Alligator mississippiensis: one gene and its partner. The protein of the gene in region 1 purifies or fractionates together with the protein of each later gene. This does not show direct contact. Links are inferred from orthologs where the notes say so. Each region holds a gene or a part of one and is shown on either strand. Other genes may lie near its edges.

Region 1 (7,302 bases):
TTTATGCATTGGTGCAATGGACAATATAGAAAAGTCTTTGAATGCAATGTTGATAAGCCAGCTGGTCACCTTCTACAGTCAACCCCCCCCATATTTAGAAGCCAGATCATTCTTTTTTGGGTGGTCTGGGGAAGTGGTAGGCATAAGGCAGTGTGGCACCTCAAGGCAGTGATTCTCAACCAAGCTGCTGTGGCACTAGGGGGGTTCTGTGAGATTCTTTTAAGGCTGCTGCAAGATATCAGCAGGCATGCAAACACCTAAACATAATTCACAAGATAAACCCAGAGATTTCAAACAGCAATCTATAGTGTCAAAAACAATCTGACTGACTGTGGTCTGATTTCTTTGCAGCAAAAGAACTACTCTGTTTTCTTGTTTTTTATTACAGAAAAATAAGAGTGAAAATGAGGAACTGGCATTTTCTAAGGGGTCTCTCAAGGGGTCAAGAATCACTGCCTGAAGAGACCAACTGGTTCAGACAGGGGTGAATTTTCCTAGGCAACAACATACTTCATCTGATGCTGTAATGTGGTTTGTAACTCACTTAGCTAGCAGCTAGTTGCTAAACTAAGAGTGAGCCATGAATTGTTTGCTATACCTTTTACATGAAAATGTGCTGTTCCTCTATTCAGCAGAGCATCACTGCAGTTGCATGCAACTAATTAGAGAAACAGCATTCTGCAATGTAAAAGCTGTAGCAAGCTGATGGAGCACTTCAACAGCTGTGCGTAGTGTATACTGCAGCTATACATGCTCCTAGATAGCTTGCAAGCCCTCATCTTCACAAGGGGTTTAGAAATCTTACCCTGCCAGGTATCTGGATTCTACTATATACCAAGAATACACTTTTCTCCAGCTATCAGAGGAGCACAGAGAAGCCATACAATTTCTCTCAGGTTAGTTTTATTTCCATTAGACCATTTAATCAAACGGGAAACCTTCTCATTGCACAAATGGAGAAGATATATATTGAGATCCAGGAGTAGGGGGAATTACCAAACATCTAAAGCAAAATCCATAGGTAGAAGACAACCACCACCCACAACTCCTAGTTTAGTAAACCCTTTTTTTGTTAATGTTAGCAGTGCTAGTAAGTTTCCTAAAGGTCAGACTTTACCTTCATTGGCACCTTTGCGTAGCTGTTTGTAGTTGCAAGACTGCTGTACAAGATCCAGCAGTGTCTTGGTGAGCTGTGCATCAGCCAGAGGGTAAGCTTTGGGGTTCACTTCTGCCTCACTCTAGAGAAAGGAAATCAAAGTTACAGAAGGGGACAGAGGGAAGCTTTGCTTGGAATACTAATATCTGAACTCAGAACCAGAGGTTCAAGTCCTGCCAGGATCAAGTGAGCCTTTTTTTTTTTTAGGATGTTTGTTCATGGCTCCTCTGGATGAAACACACTACTGTGGTCCTGTGTTTGGCACTGACACTGGGGATCCCACCATTTACCTGTAAAAATGGTTTTCCCTTGGATCCTTGATCAAAATTTCCCCCTATACAATATTGTCCCATATTGCATACCAGTTCCACCCCAGATGTACTTCAGTGATAGGTATGCAAGTTAAACAACCCAATTTATGAAGCACTGGACTAGGGCATCAGAGGTCCTGGTCTCCTGCCACCAGATGATCTTGGCCATGTCAGGCCTAGGCCCTGAGAGCTATACCCCAAAAGCACAATACAAGACAGATGTTGCTACAAGTTTCCTTGCATGCTCTCTTTCATAAGCAAGGAAGCAGGAAAAAAAAGTTGTCAGCTTCTTGCACTGTTATCATTCCTAGTCAGTACCAGCCCAGGGAATAGAGCCTCCATGTACTGCTAGCCCTGTATTCCTGCACACCAGGGGTGGCCAAACTTCCCAACTCTTTTAGCCATACACCAAAAATCTTGACAAAACTTTCAGAATGTGTGTGCTCCCAAGCCCCTGACCTTGGCACAGTGTTCCAGCTCAAGTAGCCATTTATCATTAAAGAGTTTCTTCAGGAGCTGCACATGACTTTGATCCATGGGCTTGGCCACCTCTGCTCTATGCCAACAGACACGAGAAAGGCTCTTGGGCAGCAATTCTCAACCAAGGTGCCACAGCACCCTGGGGTGACCAGTGAACCTTTCAAGGATGCCATGGGGTGCTTGCTACACAGTCTATTAAGTCTGCAAACACAATTCATCACATAAGCTCAGAGATTTCAAATGCAAGGTCCCTTCAGATTTACCCAAAGAACCTTGTCTATGTCCGTAGACCAACAGGATTACAACCAACAACCCAGCTCTTTGCAAAAGAAAGACTGCTGTTATGCTCCTGGAGTCAAAGTTCAGAGTGAAAGCCAAGAGCTAGCATTTTCCAAGGGCTGCCTCCAGTCTGTCCAGCTGCACCGAGTTGAAAAATTTTGAACTACTGGCTTAGCTAGTAAACCAGTAGTTACTCCCCCTCACCTCTCCTACACCGGGAGGAAACCCAACAAGAATCCCCCTTAGCAGGAGAGTGAGGCTAGTGCATGCAGGCACCAGAACAGAGAGCGCTTAGGGGTCGGGGAGATCAAGCTACAAGAGGAGAAAGGCTCAGTATGCGCGCGACAGACACGCGGGAAGCGCGATGCGGAGGCAGAGGGACAGAGGAGCCACGTGGGGCTTTAGGGGCCTGTTTACCCACGCACGTGGCGGCCTGCCTCGTGTCCGCCCGCCGGCCCAGCTCCGATCCCACCGGCCCGGAGCTGCGTGGATCCGCTCCTCCCTTCCCGCCCCCCTCGGGCCGGCGGCCTGGCGGGGCAGCGGGGCCCGGCGCTCGCGTTCGGCCGCTGGAACGCGGTGTCTCAACGTTCCACGCCCGCACGTGTCCGCCCGCTCCCGCTCACCATGGCTGCAATCGGAGCCCCACAAGCCGCTCCCGCCAGGATGGATCCTCTCGGCCCGAAAGCTTCACGGAGGCGAAGAAACAAGTTCAGCCGCTCCCAGACGTAGGCGAGACAAGTCGCAGCCGGAAATGAGGCTGAGCAGAATCCGGGAGAGGCGGGCGGTAGAGGCAATCTCGGATTAAAGAGGCAGCGTGTGCGCGTGCGCGCGCTCTCTCTTTTTTTTTTTAATTAGAAAAAAAACCCCATACCAGCCCCTCCCTCTGAGCACCTGGAAATGTCGTGGGTGGTGCTCCCTGCCCGCGAGCGGAGCCTGGTACAGAAGAGGAGAGAACGCGGCTTTGCTTGCAGCTGAGAGAATCCTGGCAGTTACAGCCCCTTCACCGCCCTGCGCCAAACCGGGGTTTAATTTAGGTGTGGGAGGTGTGAGAGCCGAGCTCGATTTCCAGTGCAGAAAGCTAGGCTGCCTCACACAGCAAGGTACAGGAGACATCTAAAGTTGTTGAAGTACTATCAATGCTGCCTGTGGATGATCCTCTGAATCCAGTGGGAAAGGAGAGACACCAACGTTAGTGTCCTTATGCAAACAAACACCACCAGTAGTGAGGTGATGATGACCATCCAACATCAGCTTCATTGGGCTGGCTGTATCATCTGGATGTCTATCTTCAGACTCCCCAAGCAAGTTTTATTCTCTCAGCTCAGTCAAGGCTTAGGCTCAAGAGGAGGTCAGAGAAAGCACTTCAGGGATGTCTTCAAAGCCATCTTAAAAAAATCCAACATCTATGTCCACTCATAGGAGACAATTGCCCAGGACCTCCGCAACTGGAGGAAGAGTCTGCTGCAGGGATCTCAGGGCTCTGAAACCTCATGACAACAACATGAGATGGAAATGTGGTAGTGGCAGAAACAGCGTGTTGCGGACCAAATCAAGAATCAAGAGCCACCCACCCCACACAGAAACACATGTCCAAGCTGCATTAGAGTCTGTTGATCCCAAATAAACTTAATCAGCCATCTTCAGACACACAAATAAGACAATCATGGAAGACAGTCATCCTTGGCTATGAGGGATTGCCAAAGAAGAAGAGGTACAGAAAGCTAGGCTCCTTCACACAGCCAATGATGCAAGGTACAACTTGGATGGATCTCACCTTGTTTTTCCAACAAGGAGATCTTTTGGACTGTGGCATCCTTTCCCAAAGTGGGAGGTGGGCAGTAGTGACAGCATCCTGAAGAATACAGTGCAGAGCAATTCCTTGCTGTCCAGGGGGTGGCTGTGGGGAATGGACACAATATGCCCTCATACTGAACACATCCTTATGTCTAAATATCTCAAGCCTTAGCCTATGTATATAGAGATAGCCTCATGTCTGTGACTAAGTGTGTGTATATATAATACATGCACTTGCACATACACACATAAAGACCCTTTATATATAAAACATGCTAAGACTTGATTTTCAAACAGTCATGCATGGAAGTCAAATAAGAGCTACAGTACATTGGTAAATCAGGCCTAGTGTTCTGTATCAGTTGATATGATGGTTTGTCTTGATCCCTACTTACCAGTTTCTGCCTGAGTTTCCATATTAAAACAATTTAGAAATGGAGTTATTGCTGTATTTTCAGGAGACACAGAGGCGCCCTTTTTGTTGCAACCCCTTCTTTTTCCTCCTTTATCCTGATATTTCACATATTTTTAACCCCTCTATTCTGTCTCCCCTATCCAGAAAGGGGTGACTAGTTTAACTCATTAAACAAATCCTAGAATCTAGAAGCAGGGCTGGAAGGGACCTCCAGAGGTCATGTAGTCCAACTCCCTGCCTGAGGCAGAATCATCCATATTTAAATTATCCCATACAAACTATAATCTAAATTCTATATAAGACTGTTGTCGACCCTGACCCCAGACCTAACTCAACCTGCCAGGGGTAAAGCAGGGAAACCACAACAGCCAACATCCTGCATCTATGAAATGTCAATATATGCTCAAAAGATCCTGGGCAGAGGACCACACTCCACTCTGCAACGGAAAGCAAAAACCTCCACAGTCCAATCATGGCGTAAAATCAGAACAGTATGTATACTCAAATGTGGGTAGGGCCATTGCAACAATTCCTGAAGTGGAGAGAGAGGATGAGCTGGTAATTAGGCCACCAGCCTTCAACTTTGTGGACACCTGGATTCAAGTCCAAACTTGGCTACCAACTTTCTCTGTGGCTTTGAGAAAATTTCAGTTGCCCGTCTATTAAAAAAGGGATTACGCTGCAGGGGCGGGCAATTATTTTGTGTGGAGGGCTGCTTACTGAGTTTTGGCAAGCCATCAAGGGCCATATGACAGGCAACCAGGGGCAGATACATATTCATTTTCTAAACTTTTTAGGGGCCCCATGGGCTGGATAGAATGGCTAGGTGGGCCGCATCCAGCCCGCGGACCACATCTTGCCCACCTCTGGATTACACCATCTCCTTATTTCATGGAGGGCTTTGATGATCCATATATTAACTAGTGTGATACTCAGACGCTACAGTGGTGGAATCTGTTAAAGTACTGAAGAGAGAGAAAGTCACTAAGACATGTTATACCTCCTTAGTTATATCTCTCATTGTTTGTTTCCTTACACCAAACAAACATATAACCTGTAGGCCATTTAACACTGGGCAGTCAATTTCTAGGCTGTCCTGATTGATGAGAAACATAGTATTGTGAGCCTTCCTTTTGGATCACTGGGCACAGAATCACTGACACCAGGAGATTAACTAGTAGATGTAGCCAAGTTACCACCAAATGCAGGGCTGGCTTAAGTGTACTGATGCACTAAGCAAAGGATTCTTTATTTCTACCTACTCCAAGAGTGAAATGGTTGGCTGGGCTTTGAAAATTCATGTAACAGTTTCTAGCTCGAGTCACCCATAGAACACAGGCTACGTTGAAAGAATGCCAGCAAACACCATGTCAGGGTTTGGGTTTTGTTCTTTTTGCCCTCCTGTTTCTATCTCCCCCTTCGTTATTCTGCTCTTCAGGCTTCCTCTCTCCATTACTTCCCCTCTTCCACCCACTATTTTGAGTCCTTCGTGTCTCTTTCCATCTGTCTCCCTGCTCTGCTTTCTCAGCTCCTCTCTCATCTTCACACCCTTTCTTTTCCACCACACTCTCTCTGCCTCTCCCACCGATTTCCTGCTCTGGGCTTTTCACTTCCTCAGCTAATACCATCTGGACCTGTTTCTCTTCTCCTTGCCCCCTCCCCATTCCCTTCCCTTGGCTCTGCTGGAACTTTTACTTCTTTTCCCTCACTCTCTCTGAAGCTTTTCTGCCCCCGCCTGGATTTCCCTGTCAGATCTCCCTCCTCTGCCCTGTCTTCTACTGAAGGAGCCTTATTGCTTCTCTGTGGGAGCTGCAGGGTAGATGCCTGCTTCACTGCATGGGCCAATGCCCTTTACACCCTGCCCTTGTGCTTTGGGGTCCTAGTCCTGGCTGCTGGGGTGGTGGGCTCAGGTGCGAGTGCCACAGACAGACCGACCAGGACGTCTACGCCAGAGCCGTCTGACACACACTCTCCCGCCCGCCCAAGGTGAACCTAAAACACTCAGATCACTTCACTTCACGCCACCCCCCCCCCCGCGCATGCGCAAGGTGTTCGGCCCTCCCGGCGGAGTTACTCCTCCCCGCCACCAAGCTACGCATGCGTAGGGTTTTCCCGCCAAATTGGTGTGGTGCTTCTTTGGCCGATCTCTGTGCGGCGCCATGGAGGCTTCGCTGCTAGTCTGCGAGCGGCTGCACCCGCGCCATGACCCGCGCTGGCTGCTGCAGCTGCCGCCGCCTCTGTGCCTGGCCTGTATCATCGAGGCCCTGGGCGACGGCGGCTCCTCGGTGCGGAGCGAGGGGGCTCGTGGTGTCTTCCTCCCCCTCCCCCCGCTCTGTGGAGACGCCCTAGTCGTGCCCTCCCCCGCCTGGAGCAGAGAGGAATGCTGTAGAGAGATGGCCTTGGGTTGAAGTCAGGCCCAGGGCTTGAGAGATCTACACCTTGCAGGGCCATGGACCAGAGCTGTACAGCCGGGGCTCCCCTGGGCCTGGCTCACTTGATCCCAAGGGGATGGGGCAGCAGTTCTACTCCCCCGCATCCCAGCAGGCTCCTCAGCAGTCTCTCCACACCTATCCCCTCAGCCTTGCCCCTCACTGCCCATGTGACAGCCCAGTCCTTGGCCCTCGCAGCCCAGCCCCTGATGCTACCTGGGCAGGCATGGGTGCAATGGGAGTTACCCAGGAGTTGAGCCCCCAACTGGGAGCACTAGTGCACTAGCCTCTGGCATTATCAGCCCCATAGCCAATAACATTGGTTCCAAAATTAAGGGGTGCCTGCACCCACCCCCTCAGCCCTGGGGTGAGCCCTGCCTGTCCATCCCTGCAGTGAACCTGAGGTTGGTTCGGTTTTGTTTTTAACTCCCAGCTGGT
Region 2 (8,010 bases), on another chromosome or scaffold:
GAGAAGGCATGCTCATTACCTTGATGGAGATAACAAAGTGGCCGCCGTTCTTCAGGAAGTTGTGCGCGTTGAGGGCGACAATACGGGACTGGTCAGGCTGCGCCACATCGGCAAAGATCACATCCACCATGCCTGGAGGGGGGGCATGGTTGTGAGTCATGACCCAGAGATCAGGGGACGCTGTGATCCCCCAGCAAATCAACTACACCCCCCCCCAACTCCACCTGTCTTGTGATATCAGCACTGGGAAAGGAAACCCAGTTGTCAGGGGAGAGGCAGGTCCCTGAACAGCACGGGTAGGAAGACCCTGTGCACAGACGAGCCTCAGTAACAGCAGGAAAAACCCAGGAATTTGGAGCCCCCAGAGGAGCCCTGACAGGCCGACCCCAAGCCTGGCCAGGCCTCAACAGCGACTGCAGAGAATCCAGGCATCCAGGGGGGTCTTAGGAGCCCCGACTGGCAGATGCCATGCCCGACTGAACTTTAGCAGCAGGAGAGAATCCAGGAGTCTGGGGGCTCCCAGGGAGCCCCAATACAAAGACCCCGTGCCTGGTCAGGCTTCAGCAGTGGCTGCAGAGAACGCAAGTGTCCAGGGGGAGGTGGGGGAAGGGGGTCTCAAGGATCCCCAGTACAAAGACCCGAAGACCAGCTAGACTTTCACTACAGCAACAGAGGACTCTGGAGTCTGGGGGCTCCCAGGACACCCCTCTGCCCCGGGGAAAGCCAATGGCAGGGCCCCCCTGAGTGCAGCCGGACCCCAGGGGAGAACGACTGGCAGGGGGAGGTAGGAGGAGTCAAGGGGGGGAGGGGACCTAGGGGGGACTCACCAATCAGCATGCGGTATTTGTGGGGGTGCCGGGCATCCTCTATGACGGGGATGATGTTGGTGCGTTTCTTGGCCACGTTGATGAGGTCACGGCCGGAGCGGTGGGAGAACTCCACAGCGTAGACCAGGCCTTCCTGGGGGGGCGCATGGGGTTAAGCTGGAGGGGGGGGTAATCCCTTTTGCCCCCTCGCCTCCCCCCCCCCCCCCATCCAGGGTAGGGGGTCCCAGTACTTACGGGGCCCACAATGTCCGAGACATGGGAGACGGTGGTGCCTGAGGCAGCGCCCAGGTACAGCACACGGACGCCCGGCTTGATGTGGATCTGGTCGATGCCCCCCAGGATGGCGGCTGCCAGCTTGGAGCGGAAGGGGTTCCAGGCCCGGTACTCCACCTTGGCCTCGCCATCCTGCCCAGCGGTGGGAGAGGGAACAAATCAGGGCTGGGGGGGAGGGAGTCTGCTCAAACCTTTCCCCAACCCCTGGGGCCTTCTGAGGGCCCTTTCACCCCAGCTTGGACTCCTGGGTACCAAGATGCCTCCTGGATCGGCCCCTGGAAGTGGTGTGCCCAGTGCCCTCTGGGACCCAGTAGCCTAGCCTTTCTGCCCCCCACATAACCACTGGGGGCCCCCCTCCCAGAACCAGCCCCCTCGACACCACCATTCAAACCTCCCCCTACCCCAATGCCCCCATCCTGATCCCCATCCCCACCACATCCCTCTTGACACTCCCATCCAGACACCTCCACCCGCCTTTGATCCCCTTCCCCCCCAGGCTCTGCGTACCTCCACCGCAATCCTCTTCTCCCCATACACTGACTCGCCCGGCACCAGGTTCTTGGTCACGAGTGCATCTTCCTTGCCCCGGCAAATGAAGACCCCTAGAAGGGATTACGAATGGGGAGGGGGTCAGAGCCAGAATAGCACCCCCCCATGGTCCCACCCACCCCAGGCTCCAACCCAAGCCCCGCCAAGGTGTCCCTACCCCCCAGCGCCAGCCCCTGCCCCAGACTCCAGTACCTTCGTGCCTGTGGGGCTCCACTGTCACCTTCTTGCCCCCTCTGAAGCCCCCCCGGCCCCCACCCCGCCCCCCACCACGGCCGCCCCGGCCAGGCCCTCCTCTTCCTCGGCCGCCAACACCTCCTCGGCCAAAACTGCCACCTGGGAAAGAAAAGGGGGAGAAGGATGTGGTCCAGTGTGGGCAGGACCCTGCAGCAAGTAGGGGAGTGTGGACGGGGGAGTCTTTTGCGATAGTAAGGATAGTAAATGGGGTCCCAGCCTTTTGGGACAGGAAGTGGAGGGGCAGGGGGAGCCGTTTGGGACAGGAAGTGTGGGGTGGGGCCTGGCTAAGATGAAAACGAGAGGGGGCAGCAGAGTCCCACAGCAGGGCAACCCCTGAGCCTGGCCCTCTGCCCCAAAGCTTGATGGGACAGCTGACCAGATTCTCCCAGCACGAACCAGGAGTGGATGGGGGAGAATGTAACTCACCTCTGCCTCCCCGGAAGCCACCGCGTCCCCCTCCACGGTCCCCGAACCCGCCGCGTCCCCCTCCACGGTCCCCGAACCCGCCGCGTCCCCCTCCACGGTCCCCGAACCCGCCGCGTCCCCCACGGGGGCTGAAACCTGTGGGTGGAAAGGAGGGGGGGAGGTCAGACATGCCCCCCTCCCCCCCACCAAGTCCATCCCTCACGCAAGCCCCCCTCCCCAATGCTCCCCCCTCAACTCCTAGGTCCCCCCAATGTCACCTGCCCCACATGCCCCCAGCCCCTTTGACTTCCCAGACATATAAGGACCCCCCCAGTACCCCACCACCTCCAAGCCCCATCAACTATCCTTACTGGGGGGGAGGGGCTCAGCTGGGGGGTGTTATCCCCCCACACACCCTCAGTCTGCTGCCCACCCCAACCTGATCCAAGCCCCCCCCCCGGAACCCCGGAGTCCTGCCCCCAGTGAATAGGGGGCTCCGAGCTTGGGGGGGCTGCCCAGCTACAGTCCCCCCCCGCAAGGCTGAGAAGGCAGGCGTCCCGGGATCGCGTGGGGGGGCTCCCCCCCCGGCAGCAGCTGCAAGGACCCGCCCCCCCCGCCCCGCGCTCACCGGGCCTCATGCTCCCACGTGCGCTCCCCGGGGCCGGACCACGCTGGATTCGGTGCTGGCTGGCGCGGGGCGCGATGCGCATGCGCGGGCGCCCGGAGCGCCCACACCGGAAGTTGGCTTCGCGGCCCGCGGTGACGTCAGCGGAAAGACCAGAGGACGTGCTTGCGGGGCGGGGGAGGGGGGGCGATTTTTGTGGCGTCACATTTGTCTCTCTCTCTCCCTGTGACGTCAAGTAATTTGTCTTTGGACCGCTCTGGGGTGTGACGTGGTGCTAGACTGTGAGGTTAGCCTTCCCCGTGACGTCACAGGATGAAAGTTTTTCTCAACTTTAGATCTGTGCTGTCTGATGTCAGCTCTCTGGGGGAGGTCAGGTGTCTCCTGTGATGTCACAGGGTGAAAGGTGGCTGAGGGAAGGCAGTGTCATGCAAGGACGTCAGATCCGTGAGGTCAGCTCTCTGGGATGTCACATGATAGCTGATGTTTCTTGTGATGTCAGCTCTCTCTGTGATGTCATAGGACAAAAGTTCTGTCAGAAGAGGCAGCTTTCTCTGCAGTGTCCTGTGACATCACTTCTCTGGTGTCAGCTCTCTGGGATGTCCCACGATGTCAGGTGTCTCTTGTGATGTCACCTCTCCTTGTGATGTCATAGGATGAAAGAAAGGTCTCTTGGGGAAGGCCATTTTCTCCGCGGTGTCAGGTGGCGTCAGATCTGTTATGTCCTATGCCATCAGCTGTTGGGTATCACGTGACATCAAATATTTCTTGGGATATCAGCTCTCTCTGCGTTGCCATATGACATCAGTTCTGGGATGTCACACGGCATCGGGTCTCTGCTATGTCCCATGTACTCAGCTCTCAGCCCAATGTCAGATTCCCATATCAGCTGTGACATTGTGCCGTTCGCATGTGATGTCAGCCCTCTCTGTGACATCACATGGTGTCGGGTCTGTCCACTCTGCTTTCTGCTCCCCACCCTGTGCTCCCTACCCCTTCCACTGCTCCGTTTTCCGCTCCATGCCCTGTTCTCCCTTCCCCATCAGCTGCTCTGCTGTGTGCTTCCTGCCCTGTGCTCCCTGCCCCATCCACTGCTCTGCTTTCCACTCCCTGCCCTGCGCTCCCTGCTCCACGCGCTGCTCTACTTTCTGTTCCCTGCCCTACGCCCCCTGCCCCTTCCACTGCTCTGCTTTCTGCTCCCTGCCCTGTGCTCCCTACCCCATCGGCTGCTCTGCTTTCTGGTTGGATTCAAGGCAGTTACCACAACGTAGGAGTTGATGGCATTTGTCTACCGTGTAGTGAGCATGTTTGTTACTCCCCTGAAAGAGAATAGTTTTCTGATAGCATACTGTTAGGTTAGCAATAATTTAGATTATTAAGAAGTATTAGCTTTGCAGCTGAATATAAGGCATGACCTGTGGCCTAGCAATGCCGCTAACCACAAGGCAGAATGATAGCTAAGCCTTTACTTGTGTCAAGTAATCATTTTAACTGTGTTAAGCATTTTCTGAGTAAAATGCAGCAAGTGAATCTGTGTCTGTGCTGTAAAATCAGCTACAGCAAGGAACAAGATAAGACAAAAAAGTCATTGTTCTAAATACAGTGATCGTGTCCTTAAAAAGCATCTACCACTGCAAATTCTTGCTAACGTATCATAATGTTACTGTTACTTAACTTTTAGCTTTTAAAAAATGCTAGTTCAGCTTAATAAAAATATGCTGTTATAAAGATTTGTGAAGCACCACCCAAGTAAGTATTGCTTTTATTAACCCTGTAGTCTTGCCTTGTTATAAAAAGTATAAAAAATTGCCCCACCCTTTAGGGGGGGCCATTTTGCCTTTTGCTGGCTTTATGATCTTTGCTCGAACAAATAAATAGCTGTCAATTCTTTACCCGCGTTGTCTGATACCTATTACAGCTAAATAACAAACTTTAGGGAGTTTCCTCCCACCACATAAGCAAGGCAGGGTAGGGTTAAGGGATGAGATGTCATGTGTCCATACTTCTACACCACTACCGAGTCTGGGCAGCTCTTTGAATAGCTCCTGCTAAAGTGGAGCCCAGCCAAAGACTTGCAATGATTGGTCCAATATGCAGCAGAGCGCCAGGCCAAGAGTTGCATAATATAGCCAGGGAGAAAGTCCAGCTGTTGGCTTCTGTGATCCAAACATCATTGCTACATTCCCCAAAGGACCTTCCAGATCATCCGTTGAGACCCCCCCCCAGGCTTGAGCATACAAAATAATAACCTAAGCCTGATTCCCCTTTAATTAATTATCCAACAGCATGAGATCACTATTCCAGGGAAGAGTTCGGGATCCTCAAAGAGCAGTGCCCTCCGACTGACTGAAGAGAGTTCAGTTGAAATCTGAGAGCAGATTTAGGCTGGACATTAGAAAGAACTTCTTCACAGTTAGGGTTGCCAGAATCTGGAATGGGCTTCCAAGGGAGGTGGTGCTCTCCCCTATCTTCAAGAGGAGACTGGACATGCACCTAGTTGGGGTCGTCTGACCCCAGCGCTCTTTCCTGCCCAGGGCAGGGGGCTGGACTTGATGACCTACTGAGGTCCCTTCCAACCCTAACATCTATGAATCTATGAAACACTGACCCGGTCGATGCACTCGTTCAATGGTTCCCAACTTTCTTTAGACTCTAGGCCCTTCTCTGTTACCTCCAGGCTTCCTCGTTTGAAAGGTACCTCTCGTTAGACTCCAGGGCCCCCTTGGAAAAAGAAAGCTCTTCACTTTCACTCATTTCTAGACTATGAAGAAAATCCTAAAATGATTCTTCTGTTGCAGAATACTCAATGAACTCCCAGTTTCGCAACCAGGATAACTCTCGGGGCTTTGAGTGTATCCGGAGAAGTACAAGAAAATCCAAAGCAAGTTCCTCTGAACCGTGCACCGCTTTATTGGGATATTATCAATCTGGCAATGTGAGCAAGAGCAGCTCCATAAAGCAGAGAATACATGGACACACTTGCTGCCAGGTGGTGAGGCCTCAGGCCCTTCAGAATCCGTCCTTAGGGCACGTTCCAGACTCCCACCCCATCCACTCCACTTTGGTGTGGAGGAGTTTGATACAGTTCAGATTCAAATTTCTGTATTCACATGCTTTTCTGTGAGAGAACAATCTCCTGGGCAGTGGAGTAGAGACCTGGGAAACTGAGTCATGGCTCGGTTGTTCTTTCCTTCATAGCATTGGGTGTGATTGTTGGCTGGCATGTCTCAACTCCCTTGGTCACCAGCTGTCTTCTCTCACTTGCTGGTGGCTGGCATTCAGACTGAACTGCTCCTGGGATCAGGCTATCTGCAAGCAGGAATGTAGTGAGCCACTGACCACAGCAGAAAGGAGTGAGGGGTGGTTCAGGACCCCACAACGCTGGCAGAGGAGGGAGGGAAAAGAAACCTTCTGAGACAAAAGGACTGGATGGTGCTACTGTCTCACACCACAGAGAAGGGACAGAAAATAGAGAGAGAGGCAAAGAGTTAGGACAGAAAGCTAATGGCCTCCCGGGCTGCATTAGTAGGAGTGTGGCCAGTAGATTGATGGAAATGATTCTCCCCTTAATATATTCAGCACTGGTGAGGCCACATCTGCAGTCCCGTGTCTAATTTTGGGTCCCCCACTACAGAAAGGATGTGGACACATTGGAGAGAGTCCAGTGGAGAGCAACAAGAACGGTGAGGGGGCTGGGAGACATGATTTATGAGGAGAGGCTGAGGGAACTGAGCTTATTTAGTCTAGAGAAGAGAAGACTGAGTGGGGATTTGACAGCAGCCTTCAACTCCCTGAAGGGGGTTGTAAAGAGGATGGAGTTGGACTGTTCTCAGTGGGGGCAGACGACAGAATGAGGATCAATGGGCTCCAGTTGCAGAGAGGGAAGTTGAGGTTAGATATTAGGAAGAATGTTCTCACTAGGAGGGTGGTGAAGCACTGGAACAGGTTACCCAGAGAGGTGGTGGAGTTTCTATCCTTGGAGGTTTTGAAGACCCAGCTAGACAAGCCTTGGCTGGGATGATCTAGTTGGGGCTGGTCCTGCTTAAAGCAGGGGGTTGGACTCGATGTGACCTCCTGAGGTCCCTTCCAACCCTCATGTTCTATGATGCTATGACAGCTAACCCTGGACAAAGAGCCAGGACCCCTAGTTCTAGTGGGATCCTCCAGGATCTTCCCTCACTACACATTTGTTCAGAGTCCAGCATGGTGGGCTCTGATCCCAGCTGCACATGGGGCTGGTTCTGGCCCAGGGATCTGTACAGGGCCTGGTCAGGCCCCAATCCCAGCTAGGCCAGTGGTTGAGATCTACAAGTTGCTCGAGATCTACAGAGCACCTAGTCAGAGCCCCAAGTGATAGAAACTTTGATGCCAGTCGATACAGCCGGGCCCATATCCAAGGGACTGGATATTTAATAGAAGCCTTCTCCAGGTGGGCTGAAGGTGCTGGAGAAGTCTGCTGAAGATCAACAACTCCCATGATGAAATCTCTGTCAGTACTAGCTGCCTTCCCTTGACACGTGGTCCAAGAAAAGCATTGTTTGTTGATGTATTATCGCAAAAGTGTTGTCCTTGGGTAAGATTCAGGTAGTTCCTGCCCCCACAGCAACCTCACACCCTTCTGAATTATACCGGGCTTGCATATTCCCACCCCTATGGCTTGGTAGAGATAGGGCATTACAGCCGTGGGGGGAATTCCATGGCAAGGACCTAGCTTGATTTAATGGGAAATGCATTGTTGAATTCCCCTGGCAACTGCCATTGTTTGGGGTTCATGAACTATGGAGATAATGTGTTTCTGATCACTTCTCCTCCTGCAGTGCTTTCAGGTCAAGAGCCTAGCCAACTTTCAGAGCTGATGGGTTCCTTGGAATGTCCTGAGATTGTAAAAAATGACTTCCTTGGCTCTGAGCCTTGGAAGTCTGGGTGAAAAGTATTGCATAATTCAACTTGTCATGGGTAACATGAAGAAAAGCTCTCATCCCTAAGGAGGGGGCAGGAGCAGAGGACAGCGGTTGTGAAATTTCTCTCCTCCAGCTGAGATCTATCATGAATTGTTTGCCTCCTGTCTTCATCCTGACAATGTCTCTGGGGAATTTTCCA

The links.
Region 2: the proteins of SNU13 (region 1) and FBL purify together in Homo sapiens (affinity purification with mass spectrometry; 5 studies listed by BioGRID and IntAct, with this or other methods). This does not show direct contact. The link is inferred for Alligator mississippiensis from reciprocal best matches to the Homo sapiens genes SNU13 and FBL.

Annotation. Positions count from the first base shown.
Region 1 is NC_081827.1:97,064,433-97,071,734, reverse strand, and holds the start of SNU13 (NHP2-like protein 1), read right to left. Parts: upstream 3,003-7,302; 5' UTR 2,853-3,002; coding exon 2,850-2,852; intron 1,239-2,849; coding exon 1,118-1,238; intron 1-1,117. Other genes in the region: MEI1 (meiosis inhibitor protein 1), read left to right, coding at 6,595-6,720, 7,298-7,302.
Region 2 is NC_081838.1:29,164,492-29,172,501, forward strand, and holds the start of FBL (rRNA 2'-O-methyltransferase fibrillarin), read right to left. Parts: upstream 3,015-8,010; 5' UTR 2,999-3,014; coding exon 2,917-2,998; intron 2,445-2,916; coding exon 2,310-2,444; intron 1,983-2,309; coding exon 1,842-1,982; intron 1,703-1,841; coding exon 1,608-1,702; intron 1,233-1,607; coding exon 1,062-1,232; intron 961-1,061; coding exon 828-960; intron 133-827; coding exon 20-132; intron 1-19.